Ovis aries: one gene and its partners. The protein of the gene in region 2 interacts with the protein of the main gene of each other region in a biochemical or structural test. Links are inferred from orthologs where the notes say so. Each region holds a gene or a part of one and is shown on either strand. Other genes may lie near its edges.

Region 1 (3,500 bases), on a different chromosome or scaffold from region 2:
ATAGAAAACATTACAATGAGAAAATCAAGTTAAGTGACTTGCCTGACTGAGGCACAAAGATGTTAGGTGGCAGCAGATTTGACTCTAGGATAAGCACAACTAGGGAACAAATACCCCTGTCAATACAAACTTTCTGAAGGGTACACGGCAGTTTGTTTTCAGGGAATACATAGCCACTCAGCTTCCATATATACTTTCATAAAATGGATCTGCCTAAGATACCCTTCCACTCACGGAAGAAAGCTCATTTTGCACCCACCCAAGGTATGTTTGTTAGTCACTCAGTTGTGTCTGACTCTGCAACCCCAGGGACTGTAGCCCGCTAGGCTCCTCTGTCCATGGGATTGTCTAGGCGAGAACACTGGAGTGGATTCCCATTACCTTTTCCAGGGGATCTTCCTGACCCAAGGATCAAACCTGGATCTCCTGCAATGCAGAAGGATTCTCTACCATCTGAGCCACAAGGGAAGTGGTATCCAAGAAATGTCCCTTAATCAAGCCACTATTGAGACACCCACACTTCCTCCTAGAAAGAGGTGCACTGCCTATACATCATAACTTCTTGTATCTAACAATTATTTACTATAACTTATATCTTGTTATTTGATAAATTTTTGTATGATAATGTGAAGTACGATAGTGTGATCAATAGAAGACTTGAACAATATATTTTGTTAGGATCAACTTCTGTGGGGAAAGAGAAATGGGTCCCAAGGAGTTAAAATGAAACAATGTAAAATTTCTGACTGTTAAAGATAAATTTGTTCATATATTTTTAAAACATTTGGTAGTAAGCTATCAAATAGCTGTTACACATTCTATTGTGTACACGTAAGCAATTTAATTAACAAAGATCAAATACCAATATTTATAATTAATTGGAAAATACAACCTTTGCAACTATTTAAACTTTGAGAAAAAACTTCAGATGCCAACTTAAAAACATCTAAGGGATAAACAGACTTCAGAAATTCTTTTAAGGAAGTACATAAGCAAAAAAGTTAAACCACTGTAGTGTATATACCACAGTTCAGAGACACACAATGTGTCAATGGAATCAAACACGTGAAGAGATGACAACATCACAAAAAAATCTAGAAACGGTCAATGCTTCTAGTTAACCAGAAGGCCCAACCTACCTCCATTAACCAATCCAGAAGAATTGCTCGCATTTTAGGCTGCAGAAGAGGGTGCCGTTGCATAAGATGCTTGTCCCTCAAGTATGTCTTCTCCTTGTTTAACATGATTTTCCATACTTCCTCTCTATTTGCCCAGCTACAAAAAAACAAAACCAAGCAAAACACAAAAGACAGGCATCAGTATGCATCCAGCTAGCGAAGTGGAAGTGCACACAGGGAGTAAGAGACCCAGGAGGCACTCGGTGGTCAGCTTACTTCAGTACAGGCAGTGGCGACGCTCTGGATGACGATGGCGTGCACCTCTGAGGCTTGTACGCAGCGTGTGGGTACAGAAGTTCATCCTCTTCTTTGTCAGGTGTGGGAATCAGGGAGCAGGGGTTTTCACAGGCTGTATTACTGTCCCAAGGCTGTAAAATAAAGACATGTTAAAAAAAGTTTGATGCAAACCAGCTGTTTTTACATTCATTGATTTGTAAAACAGCCAGTAAAACAAAAAAACAAAATGTCTTTACACACCTAGAGCAATCTCTAGGCCTAAATCAATATTCCAGCCTAAATTAAGATGGAGATAGCATGGAAGACACAGTAATGACTCCAAGCTTTCATTTTCTCAGGAGTCTATGCAGTAAGTACCTAAGAAAACTAGTCAGTAGCATTTTATTCTCCATATCATCATCCTCATATGAGGTGTGTGAGGGCACAGGAAGGGTAAGACAAAATGCAAACAGCTCTTATGTTACCGAAAAAGAAAATCTACTCGCAGTTCAGTAAGACACTAAGCATGGCTCCAAAAGGGTATTGGGAGATTTGGTCACAATTCAAAGACTTGGGATTTTTAACAAGTACAACTAACCTAATAAAATGTCTTAAAAGTGAAAGACAGAGTTTCCAATAAAAGTATTTACATAAGCACTCCACAACCACAAGTATAAAACTGATTCCCATCTATATTTAGTTTCCTCATTTAATAAAAACCCACCAAATGTGACATCTTCCTTTGGTTGCAGGTCAAGCCAAATATATTACATAATGAGGACCTTTCGTTTTCCTTAATTCAAATGGAAAAAAAACAAAGGAGTATCTGCCTACTTAAAACCACATCAAGCAACAGTCACAGGATTTACTAAGAAGTCTATAGAGATAAAGCCTAGATATTCCTGAAGACCTTTGAAACCCACCCCCAAAGTCTTATATAGTAATAAATGCTAAACCATCATTAAAAACCCAAACAATGGTTCTTTTAAAAAGTCCAGATATTTAATTCAATTTTTAATATTTGGAAAATGTCATTTTGCCATTTAAAGCTTTTTCTTTGTAAAGCTACTGTTTATCATCTTACTCGAAACAACTATGATTGTTTTTTAAAATTATAATGAACTTATTGAAGATATGGCACGTTAACAATCCTGCCAGCACGGACGCTCTGTTAAAGGTCTGAGACTCAGCAATTTTTTTTAAAGCAGAGAGATCATCAGTGTTGACTGGAAAAGAGACAACCAAGAGGACTGTAAATGAACATGGAAACTTGGGCTCTCCAAGTGCTGCTTGGAAGACATGGGACGGGGTGGCTATCACGGCACACTGGCCACTTTCAGAGGAAGCCAGAGCACTTTCAAGGTACTGAGAAGAGCAGAGTAGGATAAAGCTCTCCTCCATCCAATGTGCAAAGAATTGGGCATGCAAATTAACCATGACAGATCTTGCCAACAGCTGTTGGAGAAGGGCAACATCCTCTTCCAGTTCTAGTATCATGTGCTGGTATCATTTCCTTGACTCAAAAGGATCATGTTACAACTGCTTTAAGTCGTATTCATTCAAGAATGAATTCTAGTTTTGAAAGCAGAAGCTGGGTGTCACCCTCTACAGCCAGATGGCTGAAATAGTTGAGAGAAGACTTTTGGAGATAAAATGTTAACAGTTCCCAACCTGCAGTACACAGACAAATCAGGTGAACCACAAGCAGACAAATGGTCCCCAAAGTTGGCCTTTGACCAGTGTATGAAGCAGAATAATGAAGTCTATATTCTTTAACTTGAATGTATACCATGTCTCAAAGAAAGTGAGATCAATCTGACTTTAGGAAGGAAAGGGATAATAGCAAGAGACCAGTTTGATTATTTCTAACCACCTCTGACTCTTTGTACCTCTTTTAATGGAGAATGAAACCACCTTATGCAAAATTATGTTCTGAGAAGTAACTAATAGAAATTCTAGGACTCCATTTCAATAAACAAGTTGGGTCTCATGCGAAAAATTGAACAAAATGGATATGTTAAATAGACTTTAGACAAAAGAGCATTATTTTCATTGGGAAAAACCCAAGGTAAGAATCAAAGGTTCCATGTGGTCTTGATGTAGCAG
Region 2 (4,281 bases):
AGCTTTTTATTCTGGTTTATTTACAGTCCTCTCCATATTTCTCAAAAAATAATAATTTTTCACCTACTTAAGTTGTTTCTGTAGCTGAGTCAGGGCATTTAACATATTAATCTAACTGGGACATGTAGTACTTTTGAAACAGTCTCTGTGACAAGAAAGAATCGTGAGTTTTGAGAAGGTAAAGGAAGATAATTTTATTGGTAGTGAGGAAATCAATTGCTGTGGGGGTCCCCCACGGACCCCCATTTCCTCCTCCAGGGATTCTTCCTGACCCGGGGATGGAACCCGCATCTCTCATGTCTCCCGCACTGGCAGGCAGGTTGCTTACCACTGGCGCCACCTGAGTAGCACACATGTCGGTAAACAAAAAATAAAATCATCCCCATATATATATTAGTGAATATGTTTAATCTTCCGTATATCACTGGATATAGACTATAATGCCTTTCCTGGCTCCAAAGTTTTATCAGAAATGGGAAACTCATCACTCCAAGACCTTCCTTCAATTGCTCCCACTTTCACTTACCTTTGGCATTATTCAACATAACCAAGCCCAAAATTGGCAATTAAGATTTTTATTACAATATACCCACTGACAGAATTAGGCAATGCAACTAGTTGAGTAGCTGTACAGAATAATTTATTGTATATTATCCACATGGCTTTAACATGTGAAGTATTTTTCTCAGGAGAGTACATGGATTTAATTATTTATGTTATACTTATTTGCAGCGTGTAAAACAATAGCTGGAGTATGAGAAACAACACTTTTAAAATACCACCTTATATTCTCCATGGCACTACCAGTGATTAAGAAATGTCTAATCATCAGATCTAAAGATAATACTCTTCCTTCCTGTGTCCCTAAATCCCAAACTAAACCACCTAAACATAGTTCATTCTAACAACATTATTTATATAATCATCTTAGAGAATAATTCAGAATTAACTGATGACTTTTAGATCTTAAATTCTTGCCTTTACATAGCTTTGCGTGTGAGCGTGCTAGGTTGCTTCAGTCATATCCAACTCTTTGCGACCATATGGCCTGTAGCCCACCAGGCTTCTTTGTCCATGGGATTCTCCAGGCATGAATACTGGAGTGGGTTTCCATGCCCTCCTCCAGGGGATCTTCCCGATCCAGGGACAGAACCTGCGTCTCTTATATCTCCTGCACAGAGTCAGGTTCTTTACCACTAGTATCACTGGGGAAGCCCCTAAATAGCTTTACTGTAAATTTATTTCTTTTAGAATTATCCATGTATCAGATTATGTTCAATTACAATAAAATCTGTACAACTGTCTTCAAGACAAGGTGTAGACTATTTTTTCCCTGTAAAATATGGACAGCATGAATTTTGGAAATTTTCATATTTTTCTGATTCAGTTTAGATTTGCGTTAGAAAATGAATCTCGTGTAACTGTCACCTAAAAAAGGTCAAAATATTCACAAAACCTTATATATTTTTCTTAATTAGATAACCCATTCATCAGAAACCACATCATGTTAGAAAAGTAGGAAAAACTGGACAACATCCTCAGGTTTTACATTGTTGCAGTGTCGGTTAGCTGGCATATTCCTCCTAGTGTTGGATAGAACGTTTCAGATTTTAACATTAGTCTAATAAATAACTGATGTAAGAAGAGTTTATCAGTATGTAGAAACTTACTTTTAAAAATCACCTTCCATCTTCTTGGATAAACTACATTCACACGCACCTGAGGCAATCAAAAGTGCTTTAAGCGGCACCCAGTCAAGAATAACTCGCCCCCCCCAAAAAAAAAAACCTCACCAAACCAATTAACACACAGTCTAGAGGAAATCTGTCATAATAAACTCCCCAAGGAGCAATGTTTTGTAATCACATCGTATATTTCCACTAATTTTCAGAGATAAACTAATTTTTGGCTTAACAATCCTGGAAAAGGGGGACTTTTCCAGTCTTCTTTACTACAGTGATTACAAGCAATTCTAACAGCCACTTCCAAAGCTTTATTCACAAAAATGCAGCTAGGTCATTCTGTGTGTGTGTGTATATATATACATGTATATATAAAGATTTATATATATATATATTTTAAAAAAGGTTGTTGCATAATGAATCGTAAATTCATCATGCTGGAAGTTTTAATCCTTACTATCATTCACTATTAATTATTCTTTCATCTCAGACCTCCAAAGAGATTATCTAGAAGACAAAAATCCAAGAGTGTAAGAAGTTCAAATCCACCTGCGGGAATTTCTTTTGACCTCAAGCACCATCACCAGGCACCGGTCTATCAAGAGTTTAGCGCTTCGCTAAGGTTTCCCTTCAAGAGCTCCCCGGACAGTGTGGGTCCCCCCGCCCCGTCCTCAGCGGGAAGACAGCCCCCCAAGGCGCCCCGAGTTGGCGCGGGAAGAGGGGGTTCCCTACGGACCCCCGCGCTCGAGCGGGCGGCGGGAAGAGGGGCTTCCCCACGGACGCCCGCGCTGGGCCCCCCTGGCGAAGGCGTCTCCGGGAAGAAGCCTGGCAAGGCGGGCGCGGGCGGGGCTTGGGACAGAGACACACACGTCTTCTCGGGGAGCCGGCGGCGCGGGCTGAGGGGAGCGCGGACACCGCCACCCGCCACTGACAGCGGGCACCCGGGGTGGGGGGGGTCCCCGCCGAGAGGGGCGGCGCAGAGACGCTGTACCTGGCAGGTACCCACGTACCTATCATGGCCACTGGGCAGGCGGACGCGGCCCGCCAGGCGAGCAGGGTCCCACTCGCACCCGGGCGCCCGCCTGCGCCTCACACGAGCGGCGCTCCGGGGTTAAATCGTCCGGGACGCCCCTCCCCCTCCCCCTCCTCCCGGCGCCCGGCCCTCGAAACGCGCACGCGCGAACGGCGTGCCGCCCGCGGCCTTCTGGGAGTCGTAGTTTTCACTCGTTAAGTACCGCCTCGGGTCAGTCGCCGCCCGCCGCCCGCCCTTCCGGCCTGAGGCCCAGGAAACGTATACGTCACCGGGAGGCGGGGCCATCCGGCCTCAGTGTTGACGCGTCGCTTAGCAACCGGGAGGGTTACCTTTGGAAGCTTGTGGCAGCTCTGGCCTCGGCCCTGCCCTCTTCCCGCCCCTCCCTTCCCCTCAACTCCCAGCACCTAGGAGCTGCCAAACATCTGGATCGACCACTGCTACGAAGGGGTTGAATTTCTACCATTAACGCGCCTTTTTCCATTTTTTCCCCCCGACCTCCTCCTCACATCCATAAATCTCACTGACTCTTTTACTACACGTTGTATGAGAACAAGACATTTTCTAGGAAGATGGTGGCAGAAAAAGAGACCCTGAGCTTAAACAAATGCCCAGCCAAGCTGCCGACGAAGACCAAGCTCCTGGCACAGCAGCCGCTCCCGGTGCACCAGCCTCACTCCCTGGTTTCTGAGGGCTTCACAGTCAAAGCCATGATGAAAAACTCAGTCGTAAGTGATCTTCCCGAATCGAATGCACTCGCTCCCAGTCAGGGGACCCCAGGTTGCAGAGATTGGCTGGCCCTAGGATGGATTCTGAGCCCATGTCCTGGGTGGTCTTCGCCCAAAATGGCAATTTATTCGGCCAGTGGCAGACGGTGCCCAACAGAGTGTGGAGGTCCAGGCTGGGATGTTAAGAAGGAGTCTCGGGCAACTGATGTACTGTGCTCGTTTCTAAGCACCTTCCTAATAACTCAGGGTTTCTAGACCACCTGAATCTATGCTTCAGCTATATACACAAAGAAAGATCCCCTTTACTTATTGATTCCTAAACTAGCCCCACTCAGAAAAGCGCCTTAATAGAAGGAGAAGGCTTGGAAATCATGAACTCCCTTGCAAAATTTAACATTTCTGATGTACAGCTGGGAACCCAAACTCATTAACAGTAAGAAATTTTATCAATTCAACCTAGATATTATAAGAATATCCTAGCATTTTTTCTAATAAGATTCTCACGAAAAGGCATGTTAGAGTACTGAGAAGCAACTTAATAAGAAGTCTGTTTCCAAATAGACCTTTTAAACTTTTAATTTTAAAATTTCCAAGATTTGATGCAAATACTTCTGACTATTAATACAATTCATATTTCATTTCTATTGTTTTGTGGTAGTAAAAATCCATTATTCTCAATAGTATTAGGGGGGAAAAGTTTAAACTGCACATGGCAGGTTTCAGTATATGCATAACAGTTTTAAAAAAAAAGCTTTAAATGTGTGCTACACCAGGTTTTCCTACTGACTAAGCACCTGGCTGAGAATGATATATTCAATAATAAATGCAGCTTTCAAATTTG
Region 3 (2,757 bases), on a different chromosome or scaffold from region 2:
TAAATGGAGTATCATCTGCAAAAATACTGAGTCACTGTTGTATACCAGGAACTAATACTGTCAACTGTATTGCAATATAAATAGATAAATAAGCAAACATTCATTGTATACTACTTCCAGATTTACAGAAAAGTTGCAATGTTCATTCATTCAATAAACAGATGAGTACCAGTTCGGTTGAGGCCCCTGCCCGCCTTGTTCCGAGATTAGTGAGGGGTGTCTGGCGGGTGACTGGGCGTCAGTCTTCAAATGAGGGGTCCCGAGAACTCTGAGGGGAAGATGCATGGGAGCTGAGCTGCGAGGCTCAGAGCAGCAGCTGGTATGAGCACCCCAAGGAGAGGACTCAGTGTGTCTGAAGAGTGTGACGAGGAGGCCGGAGGGGCGGGATGAGGAAGGAGAAGCAACGGAGAGGAGGGCAGGGCCGCATGGGGTCCAGTCCAGGAACCGGGCCCCCCTTTCTCGGGTCTCCAGGAAGCCACTGGAGGGGTGAGGCCACAGGCACAGTTTCCAGGGCTGTCTGGGGAGCAGGTGCTAGGGGCGCGAGAGAAGGCAGAGGCCTGGGGTCATCTGGAGGAGGCGCACAGTAGAGGAAGGTTGGGTGAGTGTGCATCCCTTCTGATGCCTGGGATGAGGAGTGAGGGAAAAGGGAGTCATGGCTGGCTGCCAGTTTGCTCTAACTGCCGGATGGTGCTCCTGCTTACCAGGGAAGAAGGCAGGTGGGGGGAAATCCTGAGTTGAGCTTTTGTTACAGCTTGGGGTCCCTGTGAAGTGGATGTGGTATGGGACTATTATGCATTCTGGATCTTAAAATATATGTTCCAGTTTTTAAGCTAGGGACAGGCCACTATTTTAGACGGAATGTTTTCAAGCCTTTTAATCATCCTTCTTAATGTGCTCCCCCCAAAGGCCGCTAGATGTCACTGTTCACACGGCCGTTTCTTGTGCAGCACGGGGTGCAGAGGGCACAGGGCGCGGGTGAGGGCCCCGGAGGAGGCCGGTCTCCCTGCAAAGGGGGCCAGTCTGACCGGGAGGTGTCAGCCGCGGTTTGGTGTGGTCTTCAGATACGCAGATGATGATAACGCAGCTTCACGTGAGAAAACCGTGCACAGCCTTCTGATTAACATGCTGCTTGAACTGGGTCTCGAAGGCTATGAGGTGGTCCGAGTGGGGGTTCAGCACTTTAGGCAGAAGGAACCGCCTGGAGAAGGCGGCGCACTCCACTGCTCACCGGGCAGAAGTGACAAGGGAGCCATCCCCGGGCATGAGGCGGGACTCGGTGTTTCTTAGTGGAGGCTCGGTTGGCGCTCGGAGAAGGACCGTTTCTCCTGGGCAGGTCTGGCGTCCTCGGCCCCCTCCCCCCACACACCTCCTCGATGCCGGGTGGTCCTAAAGGCAGCAGGGACGGAGTGCCTGTGGCTGAGATCCCTTCCCAGAGCGCGGCCCCGGTGGTGAGGAGTGGAAGGCAACCCTGTGTCTGTGCCCACCCTGATCTTGTGCTTGAGTTCAAAGTCCTCTAGAGTTGCTTGTTCTTTACTCTGTACATGATGGTATCTAGTGCCTTGGCTGATGATCCCAGCATGAGTAGACATCAGTGTGACTTCCCAGAATGAAGGATGCCTCTTACACGTCATTTTCCAGAGTGTAGACAAATGAACAGAAAAGCCAAGTCCATCTGATTGGGCCTAATGATGCCACCCTAAGACTTCAGTGACACTGGCTTAAATTTCCTGGCTTCTTTATATTCCCCCAAAGCCAGGATGCATAGGCGCTGGTGCAGGGACTGATTACGACTAACTTAGCAAACAGCGAGTAGACTCTGAATGGTGGCAGCAGACACACCAGCTCTGCATGGGGAATAAATGGGGTTTCAGAAGTTGTGCAGTTTTTTAATTCTTTGTAATTGCCTGACATGGCTATGCCTTCTATTTTTTTTCCAGACAATTTATGAAAACCGAATATACAGCCTTAAAATAGAATGTGGACCTAAATACCCAGAAGCACCCCCCTTTGTAAGATTTGTAACAAAAATTAATATGAATGGAGTTAATAGTTCTAATGGAGTGGTAAGTTGTTTCTGCTGCCCCTCCTTGTCCCCTGGGGGTCCCCCAGATTCTTTGTGCTCGAATGTCAGGGGCACTTGGGGCCTGATTGCATTTGTTCCTTGGTTACTGGATGATGACATGTACCGCAGGACACACACGTGCTGTTTTGGAGGGAGGGCCTGTTTCCCAGTTGTGTTTCAGCACAACTTGTATGGCGTTGGCTCTGGGCTGTTATCACTCAGCCTGTGCCGGTCACTTTGAGAGGAGCGCTCCTTCAGCCTTCCTGCTACACCCCCAAGAGGTAGAGGCAAGGAAATGGAGGCAGAGAGGGAAAAGACCGCCCCAACGCCACGCTTCTCCCCACGGGCCTTATTTCTGCACCATGGACATATAATACTTTCTCCTTGTAATGGCCTTGCTTTCTTATTTTTGCCACTGTTTTCACTGCCGTGAATGGAGACCAGTCTCATCTGCCGTAAGCAGGTGCTGGTGGTGACACCACAGTAAACGCTGTAAAAGCAGAGCAGGGGCAGCCGACGGCCCCGTGCCGCGCGCCAAAGGCGCTCGAGCCTCTGAGGCCCACCTGATGTCCTAAACCCAGGAGAAGTTCCTGCTTGGAGGCGTTTCTCCAGGGGGGCACTGCACTGACTTGAGGGGGGTGGCTCGGACAGGCTCTGGTCTGCTGTTGCCTCACTCTCCCTACTGCCCTGAGCGG
Region 4 (3,500 bases), on a different chromosome or scaffold from region 2:
TAAAGCTTCTTTACTGAACCATTTCTCAGAGTCCTGTATACACTAACGTACTTATGAATCTCCATGGAGGTCACATATAGCCTGCAAATAGTACCCACACTTATTTCATCAGGAACTCTGCTTTCATAAGGTGAAGTTTAAAATACTACACCAGATGATTTAAATTCCATCTTATCAGAATATGCCAGAGGCTGCTTGAAAACTTATTAAATTAGAAGCAAAACAATAATCACATTTCAGTTAAGATCTTCTGATTTTCTACTTACATCCAAAGAAAATAGCTTACAACTAGTCATATGTAGTTACAAATTTATAAGTATTAATATTTATGTGTAATTAAAACATAAAACAAATTTGTCAAGTCTTCTTGATAAAAGACCCCAAATACCCAGTAACATGCTATTTACCACTCCAAACGTGTTACTTGGAAATATTTTAAACTGACAGAAGTGGAAGAAAGAACACCAAGATACCATATACCTTTTAGCTTCTTCTAAATCAAATGAATCTCAAGAGTTCTATGGTAAAGATCAGATTGTTTGATAAAATGATGAACTTGGTACAGTTTTTCTTTTCACAAAAATTGTAAGACTACACACACACAAACAGAAGTCAATTCTGAAAACAGGAAATGGGCATTTAAGGCCACATCTTGTCATCATAACGTTAAAAAAAAAAATCAAGAAAAGTCATATGGGAAGAATCAAAATACCTGAATTTTAATAACTCCTGTATTGAGTAGGAAATGCCAAAAACTATAATTAAAAATTAATCAACAACGAAATCTGGATACTGAAAGCCATGGAAGACATCCAAAGCTACACTCACAGACAAATTCATTCCACTTTTATAATCATAGCAGAAAAAAACTTTCTGTAAACATTAGTTGAACTGAATGACTAACAACCAAAAAATGCTATTTAGAAACTGATAAATTATTCAATTAATCTTTAGAGGATACAGCAAAGCAATAAAATCATTGACAAATCTCAATTAAGATTAAAATATATATATTTCTTATATACTTTATCTAATGATATATCTATATATAGGTATATAGACAAATATAGAAAAGGAATACAGAAATTTTTAAATAAACAATTTTATACTAAATTATAAATTCTCAGAAATGTATCAATTTATAAGAAATCATAAATTATCAAAATTAATTTTAAAGGTAACAAACTTGAGCTTTGGCCAACAGTTGAAAAGAGCTGTCAATGTAATTACCAAAAAAAGGTTTGGGCATCAAGACAAAATTGTTTGCCCATATGACTATTTCTTTAGGTAAATTCAAATCACTTTTAGCTAATTCTCATTTTATATCTATCATAGCTTTAAACAAAAATTTCAAACTCTAAAGCCTAACATTCTCTACAGCTTCATGGAAAAGCTATTGCTCATAAATAGTTTTTTCCAAACATAATTTTTAGATTCTCAAAAGAACTTGTAAAATAAAAAAGTGAAATATCAAGTTTCTTCTAAAAACATTAGAAAGAACAGTTCCCAACTCTTCCTGATTACTGCAATCACTTGGGGAGCTTTAAACATTTAAGAGATTCCTAGGTCCGTCCTAGCCCTACTGGATTAAGTCTCTGGGATAGGTCAGGAGCCTGCAGGTCTCTAAAGTACCTCGTGTGTTTCTCATCACCAGCCAGGTTTGGGGACCAGTGCTCTACAGCACATCTTTTATTCTTCTCATTCCCACCTCTTCAAGGAGATATTCTGGGAAAGCAAAAGCTGTACCAGGAACCAATATGAAAGAGGTATGAGTGTATAACTGAACAGTACATGATTTGGTAGGAGAAATCAAAGATAAACACATACAGACAAAGAAAGAAAAGCTCAATAAATAAGAAAAGATGAGGGAAACAACAAAAGATACTCTCTCCAATATTTTTCCCATGGATGAAATGACTGTTCCTGATAACAGTGGGTAGAGGATTAAATCTCTTATGCAAGAAAAGGGCAAGAATATAAAAATGATCTTTAATTAACTGGGATATCATGTATCCTACAGCTTAACTTGACAAAACACCTATTGATATTCCAAGGACCTCTGAAGAATCAGAAACACCTTACCAAGGGAACAGAGAGTATGCTGTCTTAAACATTTTGTATTTGTCTACCTAATGGTCTTTTTTCTTCTCACCAAATTAAAAGTAGGGGATAGTGAGCAAATGATTAATTTAAAAAATTCTGCCAAGTACATTCAATATTTATGTCCTTAGTACTATTATAATAGTTACTACTTATAAGGAAGAATTATAGATGGAAGTTTTTTCAGTTCTGAGTATTTGTGTTCATCTGGGGGTGAGGAGATATGTAATCTAATAAATACAACTAGACAGAGCTAAATTAGAGCCAAGAAGATTAACAGCTGAAGTATTTTTCAGTCAATCTAGGATGTTTCAAGGTCTCTGAATAAAACACCTATCCCAAAATATAACAGGATCGTCTCTCTCCACTGGCACACACATTAGATATCCCTGCACCTCAGTAGCTTAGATTCCCCTGAAGTATAGGACCTGTATCTTAATTATTCTTGCATCCGTTTGTTTTGTTCAGCACATTTGGCATAAAACGTGGAGAATTAACAGGTGGCAATACAGTTGAGAAATGTAATTAACTTTTGTCAAGTGGTGTTAACTATGTTCTATCAAAAGAAAAGAGATCTTCATTTTGCTCTATTACCCATTCCAACAGCAATTATATTTCTTTAATCTTGTCCCTAACTACTGAATATAGAGTATTATATTCATCACATAACACAATATTAGAAAATATGTCTCATTTAGATACAAATACATTTTTTAAAAAAGAATAAGAAATTACAATCTTTAATTCTCCATTCTTACAGATCATCCATTTCGCAGGGACCTTCTTTCTTCAAACTTTCCTTGCTTCACTTGCTCTGTCAGAAACTACACTAAATAACACCAAAGGTTATTAACAAGGACAGGTAATGAAAACAGAAGATTATGCTCACTTTCCAACCAATGCTAGTTTTATATTAGTCAATACATTCACAAAACTCCTACCTCAAAGATCTGTTCAAAATTCTGAAACTCTTGTAATCTTGCCTGAAAACCTTCTGCAAGTGCCCCACCTGTAATATTTAGGTGAAGAGGTTTAAAACCTGGTATATAACAAGATAAGATATTTGCATGCTACTTTTATAATCTATATTTATATTTCAAAAGGAAATCTATAATGAATACATACCACCTTCTGGCATCCCCTGTGCTTTCTGCTTTCTAGCACTAAGAACTTCCTTTGCAGAAACAAAAAAGATACGATTGCGTGCTTCTAAAGGATCCACAACTCTGAGCTCCTCCACCAAAAAATGCAGGCATCTTTCCATGTGCTGTCTGCGTACCTAGCAAAAAAAGAGGGTATTAAAAGAATTCTAATAACTAAACAAATATGAGTTACAGGCCTATACTAACTCCATTTATAGTGATATTAAGGATGGCATCACGACACAATGGACATGGTTT
Region 5 (3,500 bases), on a different chromosome or scaffold from region 2:
TACCGCTGCTCCTGCGCTGCAATGTGCAGAGAGTCCATGATGAGGCGGACGGCCTCAGCGATCTGCTTGGCCCGGACCGTGTGCTGCTCAAACTTGGTCTTCACGGCCGACTGGGAGATGCACTCCTGGAACAGACAAGAGGTGCCAAGGGAGGCAGAAGCCACCAGCCAAGAGCCAGGCTCTGGCATTCAACTGCCAGGGACGTGGCCAGGGAGCGCCAAGGAGGCACAGGATCTCCAGACAACAGGATCAAAGGCTCATGCTCACCTCAAATCTCCTCTCAAAATTCTGAAACTCAAACATCCTCACTTGAAAGCCTTCTGCAAGAGCGCCCCCTAGGAGAAGTGCACCACATTAGTCCAGAGAGAACTCAGGCAGCCAACAGCTTCTCACCCAGGGTTCCTCTCACCACCTCATTCTCACAGCGATTTCTACCGGCTGACTTAGCACAAGACCCAATGTCTCAAGCGTCAGGGAAAAGCAAGAAGCTGGTTCCATCATCACCTCCTTCGGGCATGCCCTGGGCCTTCTGGATCCTGGCGTTGAGCACCTCCTTGGCGGACACGAAAAAGATGCGGTCTCCAGCCTGGCCCCGATCCACCACGCCCAGCTCGTCCACCAGGAAGCTGGTGCAGCGCTCCATGTGCTGCCGCCGCACCTGGAGCCCAAGCACACAGGTATTATATGACCAGGTGGGGCGCGAGGGGGCCCTCCTGAGGGAGCCCATGGCCCCTGGTGGCCTCTTTTCTAAGAGTACAGGTAATCTAGTCACACGGCTCAGGATTCAGAAGGTATCAACACACATGCAGTGATCATTTCCCACCATCTGTCCGCCAGCCACCGGGCCCCCCAAATCCCAAGTCACAGGGTTCCTTGGGGTGCAGCCTGTCCAAGACACCTGAGGCATCAACAAGCAGAAATGTTTACACATGTCCCAGACTGCCTTGTTAAGAGCCTACAAAAGTCTCCCTTTGGTGCCCCAGAAGGAAAGGAAGCTGGGGGTCAAGAAACCCACACCTGTGAGGGGGCAGGGAGGAAGGCTCAAGAGGAGTTGATATATGTATGATAATGGCTGACTTTGTTGTTGTACAGCAGAAACCAATACAACATTGTAAAACAATTTTCCCCCAATTTGAAATATGTTAAAAAAACAAAACGAAACACAGAAACCCACACCTGGACTCTGTACTGACAAGCTGAGTCCTCCCTGGCCTTGTTCATTGAATGAGAGGGTGCCACCCAAAAATCCCTCCTCTGAAGCCCTAGGGCTCCACTGCTGGAACTTCAAAGTGATAACAGCCTCCGGTGGACACCTTCCACATGCCAGGCCTTTACTCAAGGTGAACAGATCTCATCTTCTGCACAACTCCATCTATTACACCCAGCCCACAGGTTAGGATTTACCTGGGTTAGTTAGGGTATGTTAGGGAGTTTATCAGTCACACTGCCCAGCATCTGCTGACTACACACTTGATCATCATCCCATAGCACCTGTGACTCCTTTTTCTTTCATGTTACCCATAAAAAGTAAAGCATTCTGAGCTGTAAGAACCAGTTATTCTTTGCTCTTCTTTTAAGCTTCTTTCCTGGATGCCTTTCAAAGCTACGCCTCTGACTCATTCTTTAAGAACTAAGGAGAGCCCTGGTCCCAAGGAAGGGCTCGGCCAATGTGGTGTGGAGGCCTCTCAGCACAGAGAAAAGCCTTCTGAAGATTAGAGGGGAAGGGGATACACATATACTACAGCTGATCCACTCTGCTGTACAACAGAAACTAACAAAACACTGTAAAACAGTTACACTTCAAAAAAAAAAACGAGGAGAGGGGTTCGGGGAAGTGAATGGGAGAAGTGAATCGGTCCCACAATGACCCCGAATACCTCATGGGACAACTTTAGTGATGAAATTCATTACTAATTTAAGAGAGTCTAGGCAGACGTACAGGGTGGCATTCCCCAAGATGCTGAGTAAAAGAGGCGCCCACCTCCTCCATGTACTCAGGCTCCGAGGCAGACGCATCCCAGCGGTTGTTCAGGATGAAGATGTTTGGGCGGGACAGGCGCTCGCTCACCTTGTGGAAGAATTGCTTTTCCTGGATGAGGGGAAAGACCTCAGTGAAGGACGGGCTGTGCCAGCCATGGCCCTGCTGGCCCACCCGCTTGGCTGGATCTTGGGAGTGTGGGGAAAGGCAGAGGATCGGTTACCGTCTGCATCAGGGTGGACTCCGAGTTGGCCACCAGCACGAACACGTCGGCGTCCAGGCAAAACTTGTCAATCCAGCTGTCCAGTTCTGTGGTGACGTCAATGCCAGGGCTGGAGGTGACAGGGGTAAACCATCATCAGACCCGGGGCCCTATTCTTCCTGCTCTGAACAGACCTGAGGCAGCAGGCAAAGGAAGAGAAAGCTACAGAGGAGAGGGAAATCGCCCTTACTGGAGGGATTCTGATTTTTCAGCTCACATCCTTCCAGACTCTCTGAAAATGTGTTTTCTGTCATATGCATCTATCACTCATGAAAACCTAGACATCTGAATTTGACTTTGTGCATGCACGTGTGCATGCTACGTCGCTTCAGTTGTGTCCGACTCTTTGTGACGCTATGGACTAACTGTAGCCTGCCAGGCTCCTCTGTCCATGGGATTCTCTAGGTAAGAATACTGGAGTAGGTTGCCAGGCCCTCCTCCAGGCGATCTTCCCAACCCAGGGGTCAAACCTGCATCTCCTACACTGGCAGGCAGGTTCTTTACCCATAGGAAGCCCCTGCATTTCACTTTGCTGGTATACAATTAAGGTGAAGTGCTACATTTATCTGAGTCCAGCAAGCACCCTCATACCAAATTTCTTGGTATAGTTATAGCCTGTCCACAAAGCAGGAGCAAAGTGTTGCCTTGAGAAAAATAAAACACAACAGGGACCTCATCAAGAACAAGCTCCACCCCCTCCTCCAATAAACATACTAACATTGGGTTGAGGCCGAGAACCTTCCCCAGTTTCAAGCATCCTTCCTATCCCTCTTCACAGACCATCACTGGGAGATCTTTGGGGCCCTGATGCCTGCCAAGATGATACAATAACCAGACCCTGAAGGAAATCCACGAGGCTGGAAGATGTGGCTAAGCTGGTTTAAAAACTAATATACTTCAGCAGAGCAACAACATGACCTTGGGGACACTGGCCTGGAGGACCCAGAAATGGAAACCTGGGGCCCTCCCCGTCTGCACCTCCTAGGGAGGCACCTGCCCTCTTACCTGTCCATCAGCACCAGGTCATCCTTGAGAAGCGGGCACTTGGAGTTGGGCCACATCACACTCACCAGGCTGCCGGCATGCAGCTGTTCGTCCTGGTGAAGGGCATGCGCCAGCTGGTTCACCGTCTGATGGGGGTGGAGGCAGAAGATAATCAGGGTCAAGGAAGAGCCTCCAGGCTGGAGACCAGTGCAGCCTAGCCCCAGGACAGTGGCCTGGCTCGCAGGCCAATCTGCTACCCCTCTTTCATTTCATGCA

What was found. The genes of interacting proteins can lie anywhere in the genome.
Region 1: of the proteins of PRKN (region 2) and CCNE1, one has a biochemical effect on the other in vitro, tested with the Homo sapiens proteins (2 studies listed by BioGRID). The link is inferred for Ovis aries from reciprocal best matches to the Homo sapiens genes PRKN and CCNE1.
Region 3: the proteins of PRKN (region 2) and UBE2V1 form a complex in vitro, tested with the Homo sapiens proteins (4 studies listed by BioGRID). The link is inferred for Ovis aries from reciprocal best matches to the Homo sapiens genes PRKN and UBE2V1.
Region 4: of the proteins of PRKN (region 2) and MFN1, one has a biochemical effect on the other in vitro, tested with the Homo sapiens proteins (3 studies listed by BioGRID). The link is inferred for Ovis aries from reciprocal best matches to the Homo sapiens genes PRKN and MFN1.
Region 5: of the proteins of PRKN (region 2) and MFN2, one has a biochemical effect on the other in vitro, tested with the Homo sapiens proteins (2 studies listed by BioGRID). The link is inferred for Ovis aries from reciprocal best matches to the Homo sapiens genes PRKN and MFN2.

What each region holds. Positions count from the first base shown.
Region 1 is NC_056067.1:39,915,271-39,918,770, reverse strand, and holds part of CCNE1 (G1/S-specific cyclin-E1), read right to left. Parts: intron 1,547-3,500; coding exon 1,395-1,546; intron 1,276-1,394; coding exon 1,140-1,275; intron 1-1,139. UniProt on the Homo sapiens protein: Essential for the control of the cell cycle at the G1/S (start) transition.
Region 2 is NC_056061.1:85,935,219-85,939,499, forward strand, and holds the start of PRKN (E3 ubiquitin-protein ligase parkin), read right to left. Parts: upstream 2,801-4,281; 5' UTR 2,700-2,800; coding exon 2,693-2,699; intron 1-2,692. Other genes in the region: PACRG (parkin coregulated gene protein), read left to right, coding at 3,285-3,440. UniProt on the Homo sapiens protein: Functions within a multiprotein E3 ubiquitin ligase complex, catalyzing the covalent attachment of ubiquitin moieties onto substrate proteins. Substrates include SYT11 and VDAC1.
Region 3 is NC_056066.1:78,133,583-78,136,339, reverse strand, and holds part of UBE2V1 (ubiquitin-conjugating enzyme E2 variant 1), read left to right. Parts: intron 1-1,937; coding exon 1,938-2,063; intron 2,064-2,757. UniProt on the Homo sapiens protein: Has no ubiquitin ligase activity on its own. The UBE2V1-UBE2N heterodimer catalyzes the synthesis of non-canonical poly-ubiquitin chains that are linked through Lys-63.
Region 4 is NC_056054.1:208,514,322-208,517,821, forward strand, and holds part of MFN1 (mitofusin-1), read right to left. Parts: intron 3,380-3,500; coding exon 3,226-3,379; intron 3,110-3,225; coding exon 3,042-3,109; intron 1-3,041. UniProt on the Homo sapiens protein: Mitochondrial outer membrane GTPase that mediates mitochondrial clustering and fusion. Membrane clustering requires GTPase activity. It may involve a major rearrangement of the coiled coil domains.
Region 5 is NC_056065.1:40,951,640-40,955,139, forward strand, and holds part of MFN2 (mitofusin-2), read right to left. Parts: intron 3,371-3,500; coding exon 3,246-3,370; intron 2,311-3,245; coding exon 2,202-2,310; intron 2,090-2,201; coding exon 1,982-2,089; intron 659-1,981; coding exon 505-658; intron 336-504; coding exon 268-335; intron 126-267; coding exon 4-125; intron 1-3. UniProt on the Homo sapiens protein: Mitochondrial outer membrane GTPase that mediates mitochondrial clustering and fusion. Mitochondria are highly dynamic organelles, and their morphology is determined by the equilibrium between mitochondrial fusion and fission events.